Oryzias latipes: one gene and its partner. The protein of the gene in region 2 interacts with the protein of the main gene of each other region in a biochemical or structural test. Links are inferred from orthologs where the notes say so. Each region holds a gene or a part of one and is shown on either strand. Other genes may lie near its edges. The genes, in order: mcm5 and signal transducer and activator of transcription 1-alpha/beta.

What was found.
Region 1: the proteins of signal transducer and activator of transcription 1-alpha/beta (region 2) and mcm5 form a complex in vitro, tested with the Homo sapiens proteins (2 studies listed by BioGRID). The link is inferred for Oryzias latipes from reciprocal best matches to the Homo sapiens genes STAT1 and MCM5.

Annotation. Positions count from the first base shown.
Region 1 is NC_019866.2:21,037,919-21,042,341, reverse strand, and holds the start of mcm5 (DNA replication licensing factor MCM5), read right to left. Parts: upstream 2,946-4,423; 5' UTR 2,792-2,945; coding exon 2,619-2,791; intron 2,444-2,618; coding exon 2,317-2,443; intron 2,236-2,316; coding exon 2,107-2,235; intron 2,033-2,106; coding exon 1,860-2,032; intron 1,785-1,859; coding exon 1,629-1,784; intron 1,553-1,628; coding exon 1,383-1,552; intron 1,297-1,382; coding exon 1,125-1,296; intron 1,035-1,124; coding exon 923-1,034; intron 849-922; coding exon 705-848; intron 638-704; coding exon 572-637; intron 503-571; coding exon 326-502; intron 245-325; coding exon 132-244; intron 39-131; coding exon 1-38. UniProt on the Homo sapiens protein: Acts as a component of the MCM2-7 complex (MCM complex) which is the replicative helicase essential for 'once per cell cycle' DNA replication initiation and elongation in eukaryotic cells.
Region 2 is NC_019860.2:3,991,166-3,995,728, forward strand, and holds the start of signal transducer and activator of transcription 1-alpha/beta, read right to left. Parts: upstream 3,058-4,563; 5' UTR 2,925-3,057; intron 1,605-2,924; exon of another isoform or gene 1,583-1,604; 5' UTR 1,564-1,582; coding exon 1,436-1,563; intron 1,353-1,435; coding exon 1,208-1,352; intron 1,134-1,207; coding exon 1,038-1,133; intron 959-1,037; coding exon 872-958; intron 781-871; coding exon 702-780; intron 631-701; coding exon 539-630; intron 471-538; coding exon 319-470; intron 243-318; coding exon 84-242; intron 3-83; coding exon 1-2. UniProt on the Homo sapiens protein: Signal transducer and transcription activator that mediates cellular responses to interferons (IFNs), cytokine KITLG/SCF and other cytokines and other growth factors.

The DNA of each region.
Region 1 (4,423 bases), on a different chromosome or scaffold from region 2:
TCTCAGCAGCTGCCGCGGAGAGTCGGGGGCCACATTTACTGTGAGGGAACACGCAGAACACACTCTTTACTCCACAAAATCCACAGGAAACTAAACTTTAAAGCGGTCTGGCTGCAGAATGAGTGACTCACGCTCTGGCGTAGGCGATGTATTTCTTAAAGGTGGCGAGAGGAATCTCGCCCTCGACTCCTTCCGTCTGCGTCTGCGCACTCAGGTGGACGTTCATCACGTGGCGAGCCAGCGTCTGCGAGCAGAGTCAGGCGGCAAAGTCAGCGGAAGCACTAAAGAGAATTGAAGCATCAAACCTCCCGTCGCGTCCTCTCACCATGTCTCGCTGCTGGTCGTGGTGGTCCTTGATGATGAAGATCATGTCGAAGCGGGACAGGATGGTGGGCATGAAGTCGATGTTGTCCTCGCCTTTGGTGTCGTCCCAGCGGCCATACACAGAGTTGGCCGCCGCCAGCACGGAGCAGCGGGAGTTCAGGGTGGTGGTGATTCCAGCCTAAAGGCCGCAGACTATTAGCATTTTTCCAATGAAGCCCAATAAGGAGGTCAAACTTAAGGCGGTTACCTTAGCGATGGAGATGGTCTGCTGCTCCATGGCCTCGTGGATCGCCACTCTGTCGTCTTCTCTCATCTGAGGAGAAAAACAGCCTGAAGGACGAGCAACCCCGATGCTGCCCCCCAGCTCACCCTGGACCTACCTTATCAAACTCATCAATGCAAACGACACCACCATCCGCCAGCACCATAGCCCCTCCCTCCATGATGAATCCACGAGTGCTGGGGTCTCTCAGCACGGAGGCGGTCAGCCCAGCTGCACTGCTGCCCTTACCTGATGTATAAACCTGCAAGTGAGAGTCAGCATCAGAACTTTTTTCCCTCCGGATAATTAAAAAAAAAAAAAAACACAAACAAATACCCCGATCGGTGAGCATCTCTCCACAAACTTAAGCAGCTGGGATTTGGCTGTTCCAGGGTCTCCAAGCATCAGCAGGTTGATGTCTCCTCTGCGCGTGAGACCGTCAGGTAACCTAACAGACACAAGAACAGACTCTTAGCTTCAAAACAACATCGTTGCAGCAGCAACAAAAATGAAGAAATAAACCGTTCTATCGCCGTACCTCTTTCTCGAGCCTCCAAACAGCAGACAGGTGATGGCCTTCTTCAGATCGTCGCTGCCATAGATGGAGGGAGCGAGGGACTGCGCCAGGGAGCTGTAGATGTTGGGAGAGGTAGACAACGCTCTCAGCTCTTCTTCCTCCTGTGCAGAGACGGGTCCGGTGGCGCCGCGGCCTGCAGCCAAGAAACAAGAAGATAAAATGACCCCCCAAACCTAACAATGTGCTTCTCACAACCAACCCTGTCATCGGGATCTTTACCTGCTCCTTCCGTGTCCACCTGGATGCCAACGACTCGCAGGTAAGATGAACGAATTCCCACGCCGATACCCTTTTCTTTGCCTTTGGCCTTTACAGCAGCCATTTTTTTGATAGAGTAGATGCCCATGATGGTCACTCGGTTGCCCGGGACCACGCGGTCACACAGGTACCTGGGGACGGAGGAAAACCTCAGTGGCGTGCCGCAAAAGCAACGGAGCAGCAGACTCCGGTGATCTCCATGGCTACCTGTCGCAGTAGAGCTGCAGGTGGCGCGGCATCTCTCCGTGCGGCACAGCATCGGGAGACTCCTGCAGGCGGAGCGTCTGGAAGTCCACGCACACGCAGCGGTCCGGGATGATGAAGTATGGATCCATGGGACACTTCACTCTGCCAGCATTCTCGCTGAAAACACAGAAGGTCGTTTTGAGGCTGAGTCGTCTAGCAGGGTCAACCTGAGACCGGAATGCGATTCCTCACCTGTTGCATTTTCTGGGCAGAGCGTAACCCTGCAGGCCCGGAGGCAGGGGGATGTTGGGGATGACGCTGCGGCAACCGCGGCACTGCAGGCACACCTTGGTGGCCTTCGCCTTGACTGCTGTGGCAGAAATGATGATGCCGTGGACCTTCACCAGACGGGACACTTGCTCCGACTGGAAAGACACACAGAAAGGTGATCCATGTGTGGAATGACTGCAACGTCGGGCACAGCAGGGTCCTAAGGTACCTTCAGGTTCCGGATGGATGTGTGGTGGGCATCGCTCTTCAACATGACCTGGATGTCCTGCACCGCCTCCTCCCCCACAGGTCGGGGTCGGGTCACCTCATCGGCCACCTCCTTAGCTGCTTCCTCCAGCTTAAGAGATACGTTTTATCTATACATTAGTCGTGAGTCAGACTTTCATGACCGCATAAAAATGTGAACTAGGATACTCACCAACGGCAGGTTCTCAGTAGGAAGTTTGTAAAGGCAGTCAGACAGATCTTCATCAAAGCTGGCAAGATCCTCCACCTCCACCTCCAACCAGAACTCCCCCAAAGTGTAATGTCGCTTCAGCTCATCTCTGCGGAACAACAGGAGACAATCAGGACTTTTGAGCTTCTAAAGCAGATGTTTTAATCATATAACTACATTTCCCATAATGCAACTGCCTCGTGATATAGCACCACTTCACTTATCGTTTACTTTGAAAGTAGATGCAGATTTGAGAACCGCTTTGAGTTCATAAGGAGCCTGACCTGTATTTGTAAGTGAACCCGGTTTGGTCAGTTCCCTCTCTGAACTGACGCAGGAACTCTCGGAACCGCTTCTTGATCTGGACCCGCTTCTGTCCACCTTCGTCCCCGCCGGGTCCCTCTCCCCCGCCGAAGCTGTCGCTGTAGTAAACGCCGGGGTCGTCAAAGCCAGACATGCTGAAGCGGCTGAAGCTGACACCAAAAGTTGTGCTTTTCTGGAGCCAAACAGACAGGAAGGACCCGACTTTGTGACGACGTTTCGCGGGAAAAACTGAAGCGTCTTCCTTTCTGTTTCCCGCGGGTTCTCTGCTAGTTCCGCCCCTTTCCTAGACTCTGATTGGTCAGGTTCAAACATAGCTTTTCTTTATTTGTCGAACATGTAGATATGGGCGAACTCTTCAGCTGAAGGCGGGGCGCTGAGTCGCGATGGCGCGAAAAACAGAAGAGGAGGAGCTTCTGAAGCATGGCGACAGCAGAAAAGCAAAATAACAAAGAAGGGCCACGAGCTTAGAGAAACCTAATGACACATTTTCTCCTAGATGTAGAATTTGAAGTGAGACAGTGAAACCCATGCAAGCACAGTTTATTTTGAGTTAATTAAAGCAACTTTTTCCACATAAAGTTACATTTTTATCAATGATAAGGCAACTTAAATGTGAAATGTGTTAACCTAATAGGAAAACATTACAGCTGCTGATGGATGACGCTTCAGCCTTCTAGCACCTCTTTTGTCTTTGTTCTGCTTCAAAATAAGATCTGAATATGTTCAGTGGGGCAAAAAAGTATTTAGTCAGCCTTGTGCAAGTTCTCCCACTGGAGATGAGAGAGGCCTGTAATTTTCATCATAGGTATACATCAACTATGAGAGACAAAATGACATCTATGACTCCCCAGAAGATCTCCCCCGTGGGCTCCCCCGTGAGCAAAAATCCCAGAACCACATGAGGGACCTGGTGAATGACCTGCAGAGAGCTGGGGCCAAAGTAACAAAGGCTACCATCAAAAACACACTACAACGCCAGGGACTCAAACCCTGCAGTGCCAGACGTGTCCCTCTGATAAAGCCAGTACATGTGCAGGCCCATCCAAAGTTTGCTAGAGAGCATTTGGATGATCCAGAAGAGGATTGGGAGAATGTCCTATGTTCAGATGAAACCAAAATAGAACTTTTTGATAGAACTCTACTCGTCGGTTCGGAGGAGAAAGAATGCAGAGTTGCATCCAAAGAACACCATACCTACTCTAAAGCATGGGGGTGGAAACATGATGTTTGGGGCTGCTTTTCAGCAAAGGGACCAGGACGACAGATTTGTGTAAAGGAAAGAATGAATGGGGCCATGTATGGTCAGTCAAAGTGACCTTGGGCAAGACACTGAATCCCACCTTGCCTTTGGTGGGAGGTTGGTGCCAGTTTTCAGCAGCAGAGCCGCCACCAGTGTGTGAATGCGTGTGTGACTGGGTGAATGGGTCTGTGACTGTAAAGCGCTTTGGGCCTTGAAGAAGGTAGAAAAGGGCTATATAAGTATACGCCATTTACCATTTACCAATCCCAAACACACTGCCCGGGTAATGAAGGAACGGCTTTGTAAGAAACATTTCAAGGTCCTGGAGTGGTCTAGCCAGTCTCCAGGTCCCAACCCCATAAAAGTTCTTTGGAGAGAGTTGAAAGTCTGTGATGCCCAGCGACAGCTCCAAAACATCACTGCTCTAGAGGAGATCTGCATGGAGGAATGGGCCAAAACAACTGTAAAAGATTATGTAAACCCTGTGAAAGCTTACAGAAAATGTTTGACTGCTGTCATTGCCAA
Region 2 (4,563 bases):
AGCTGCACACAGAAGGAGGAGATGCTGACGCGGCGCTTTGCAAAAAAAAAAACACCAAACCGTCTAAAGGGGGAGGAGCCTACTTGGAGAGAAGGTTTTTGAGCAGCTCCAGAGTTCGCGCCTCCAGGAAGGCTTTCTTCTGCGTGATGGGGTCGTTGTCGTACGTGAACTTCTGCTCCAACTCCTGCAGCTTCTTCAGGTGCTGGCGGACCTGCTGGAGGCTCTCCGCCGCGGCCGTGAACCTGCGAGACGAGGAGGAGGAAGAGGATGTGGCGGAGGAGGACGCCTCGCTGAAGGAGATCCTCGGCGGGTTCTCACCAGTTCTGCAGCTGGTCCACGCAGGCGTTTGGCGGGCCGCCGATGCAGGCGATCTGCTGCCGCTGCTTCCACTCCGGCAGCTCCTCGGAGATCAGGTCGGTCAGGAGGGCGTGGATGACGGTGAGGAGGTCGCTCAGCTGGATCACCGCGTCCTGGAAGGAGGAAGCGGGTGAGCCCCCAGGCCTCCCCGCCGGCTCTCAGCGGCGACGCCTCGGCTCACCTGACGCTTGGATTTCAGCTCGAAGCCCATCCGGGCGATGCCCATCTTCTCCTTCTCCAGCTCCTTCGCTGTCATGCCGTTCATCTCGTTCTCTGCCAACAAAAGACGGGATGAAAGGCGAGGCCGCGCTCCCGATCCCGTCCACGCCGGAACGCCGCCTCACCTCTATTCTTCAGGGAGTTGACCCTGAAGTCGTACTCGTCCTGCAGGTCCTCCACGTTCTTGATGTTCACGTCCACCATCTGAAAACACCGAGAGCCCCCGGGGTTAGGAGACGCCGCCGGCTGCAGGAGCTGCAGTGGCTGCAGTGGCGGCGTGGCGTGTGAACCCCACCTGGACTCGGTCCCTCATCTCCTTCACTTTGTTGTCCAGCTTCTGCTTCTCCACCACCATGGCGGACACCGTGCTCTCGCCCTCCTGCTACACAAACACACGCCTCTGTCACCCCTTTGTCACGCCGGCCCACAGAGCGGCGCCGCAGTCTGCGAAGACGCCTCACCTCCATGCTCTTCGCCTTAGCCAGGATGTTCTGCTCCTCTTTCAGGTTCCTGGAGATAATCATGGCCATGTGGACCGGATCCTCCTGGAACCGATCCTGGAAAGGGAGAGAACAGCGGTGAAGTGGCGCCGGCGACTTCCGGGTGTCGGAGGGGTCGGCGGGACTCGGACCTGCAGGTTCCTTTTGATTTTTCGGATGTTGTGCTGCAGCAGGAAGTTGTTCTCCAGCGCAAAGCGGCTGTGCTGGTCGTCCAGCTGAGCCAGCAGGTCGTGGAAGCGAATGGTGGCCAGCGAGTCCTGCATCGCCACCGTGTCCCTGTAGGGGGAGGGAGGGGTTGGACAGGTGAGCGGCGTGGGCCGAGGCGCAAAGCTGGAGAGCGCCGGTCTGCCCGCCATTACCAGTCGATGCTCTCGATCCACTTGCTCAGGTACTGGCGGATGTCCATGGGGAAGGAGTCGTCGTACAGCTGGTCCACCTGCTCCAGGTACTTACAGTCCAACATCTGAAGCTGGCCCCACTGCGCCATCTTCTGGGAAGGTCAGGAACTGCAAACAATTTACCAAAACATTGATAGAAAACCAAAGAAACAGGAATTAGCATGGATGCTAACTACGCTGTTCAAATTTTCACTTCAATGTGAATTTGCTAAAAATATTTCCAAGGAAGAAAGGGGGAAAAAATAACTAAAAGAAAGGAAGAAACTTCTCCAAACTTCACAATTTTGATGGCTAGGCCATCACAAAACTTTATTTAAATACACAAATACTTCTTTTGCTTTGTGGTTGTGCTCCAAAAACAAAAATACAGAAAATATTTCAAAGAATTCTGACAATCCTGTCTTTACTAGAGTCAAAGGTTAAGGCAGGTGTGGTCTTTGCTTGCAGGTTAAGACAAAGTAAATCAGAAATACTCGCAGCATTTCTGTTCCTATTTTTAATCATTTTCAAATTTTCACTTTTACATTAATTCGCATTTTTTTCATTAAAGACTTTAAAACAAAAAAACGTAAAATGAAACCTCAAAAAAGGAAGAAATCGCACCATTTTGGTGGCCGAATCTTCATTTAAACAAACAAATGCCTGTTTGGCTTTGAAGGCTGCACAAACCACATAAACAATAGAATAATTCAAAAAATTCAGACAATCCTGTCATTTCTGGGGTCAAAGGTCAAAGCAGGGGTTTTTTCTTCTTTTTTTCTTGCAGTTTACGACATAGCAAATCATAAAAGCTCACACCATAAATCCTCCTCGACTCACGTCCAGTAGAAAATAATAATAATTTATAACAAAAACTTTCATTCAGGTTCTACTTTTAGAAAAAATTTCCACAGATTTGTTAACCCACTTGTTTAAATAAAGTTATTGACGGTGGCACCGCTGCAGACACTTCACGTAACGTCACTAAAATTGTTTACTTTAGCTTAAATCTTTCACTACTGTTCTATATTGTCATCCTTTAATGTCTATGCATAGTTTATTACATACTCGTAAATTGCAGACACATTACAACGCGTAATAACCATAAAATGTGACGCAATTCGTCGTTAAAAACGTTGCCAAGGATGAAGAGTCCGTTATTACGAGCTTTCATGAAGGCGGCACTACAAAAAACACCAAACTTGTTATTATTTTATGCATTTTTCTCTCATTATCTTTTGTTTTGTCCCGCGTCGCGCCTATATGTTAAAGCGTTAGCACAAACGACAGCTACTTGGTAAACATGTGAAGATTTAAAGGGTCACAACTGCATTATTTATGTGCTTTTTATGGAGTTTTCTCCTAAAGTTTATCACTAGCTTTAGCCGTGTTCAGGTTGTTGTTGCAACTAAACTAAACGGGCAGACAAAGATGGCGACACACAGTCGGTCAAACGCGGTGCCAAACTTACCTTTCACAGCTAAAGGTTGGTTCCGTTTTCAGACAATTCTGCTGTATTTGAGCAGTTTTTCCTTTTCCCAATGTTGAGGAAAGGAGCCTGGCAGGCAGAGACACGCCGCTTCCGTCGATGGACGGTCAGACCAATCACAGCTCAGAACGTCCGGCGCCTTCCCGCCTCCGTCTTCTTTGTAGCCAATCAGAAAACAGTCCACGAGGCTGTTCCTTGAGTTACAACACTAACTTTTCACAACGCTTAAACAGAAGGAATTATCACTTTATTTGGTCAAAAATGACCGAAGGATTATATTTTTACGACTAATTTATGTTTACGAAGACCCCGAAGGTTGCACACAGTCTCTAAATCCTCATACGAGTTCTAAAAACAGGATAAGAATCGTTTTTTCGGAGGGAGGGAACGCAAGTAGTAGAACAGCGGGACGGGATCACGTGTTTTCAGAGAAAGAGAAAGGGGTAAAACTGAAACTTAAATAAAAGTATAACATTTAGTGTATTTTATTGATTTACTCTTTGAAAATGATGTAATATCACACTATAAATAGTCTAGAGTGTAAAGTAGTGCTTTAGTTTTATAAATATTGATATAACATGTATACACAAATATTTTTTCTATTTTTTGACATACACATTTTGTAGTTTTGTTTTTGATTTTAGTTAATAATTGACTTTTTGAATTTAAGGTTTAGTTTTTAACCCAACCAATTTAGTTAGTTTTAATGTCTATTCAACTGTCTGTTTGTTGTTTGTTTTTTACGTAGCTCGCAATTTTGTGTCATTTTTCCCCCCAAAACATGTCCTTAAATCTGGTTTTCCCATGTATGATACTTGACTGCTAGATTCTCGCCTTTCCCATTGCAGTTATCGCCGTCCTTAATCCTAATTGCCAATTTGTGAAGATGAAGGGGTTGTATGATGTCGTATTTGGCCAATGTGGAAGCAACAAAACAAACACCGACACCACTATGACATGTGGGAATTATAATTAAAAGTATATTAATGTTTTATATGTGAGTCAAGCAAACATGAGACAGGTGTATGATAACTTGTGACTTCAAGTGAAGGGTGACAAAGGTTAGAATGTGAACCTGGAGGATGTGCAGGATGTGGTTAAGGGAGCTTCAGACAAAGATCAAAAGAGGAAATAAAGAGTGACAAAGGTCAAAAGAGAAAGGTGAGTTAACCTGGAGGCTTTGTTAAAAATAACTGAGCAGGATGTAAGTTATGCATACATTATGTGTGGATCAATAAAAAGAGCTGTCCGACAAGGGGAAAGCAGAGTTTTAGCACAGTCTGTGTGAGGAGCAGATGTGAGCAGCTGTGCTGGAATTCTCCCTTTGCAAAGGCGAACCAAAGTTTCAGGGTGTGAAGTCTTATTATTCTAACCTTCAACTATAGGATCCTTCTGACTCTGAATCAGAACCCGGGGAAGTCAATTTGGGCTTCAACAGCCATGTGGTCAAATCGGTGTTCCTCTCTTATGCTACGTTCACACAAGCCATGTGTAAGTGTCACTGAAAAGGTTACAAGATTAGTTCATTTTTGGTTAATATCTTTAATATCTTTTCGGAGCTTTCTTGAGGTGCATAATAAAGTAAGTAATAAACTATTTATTTTCACAGTTCAAATATTGA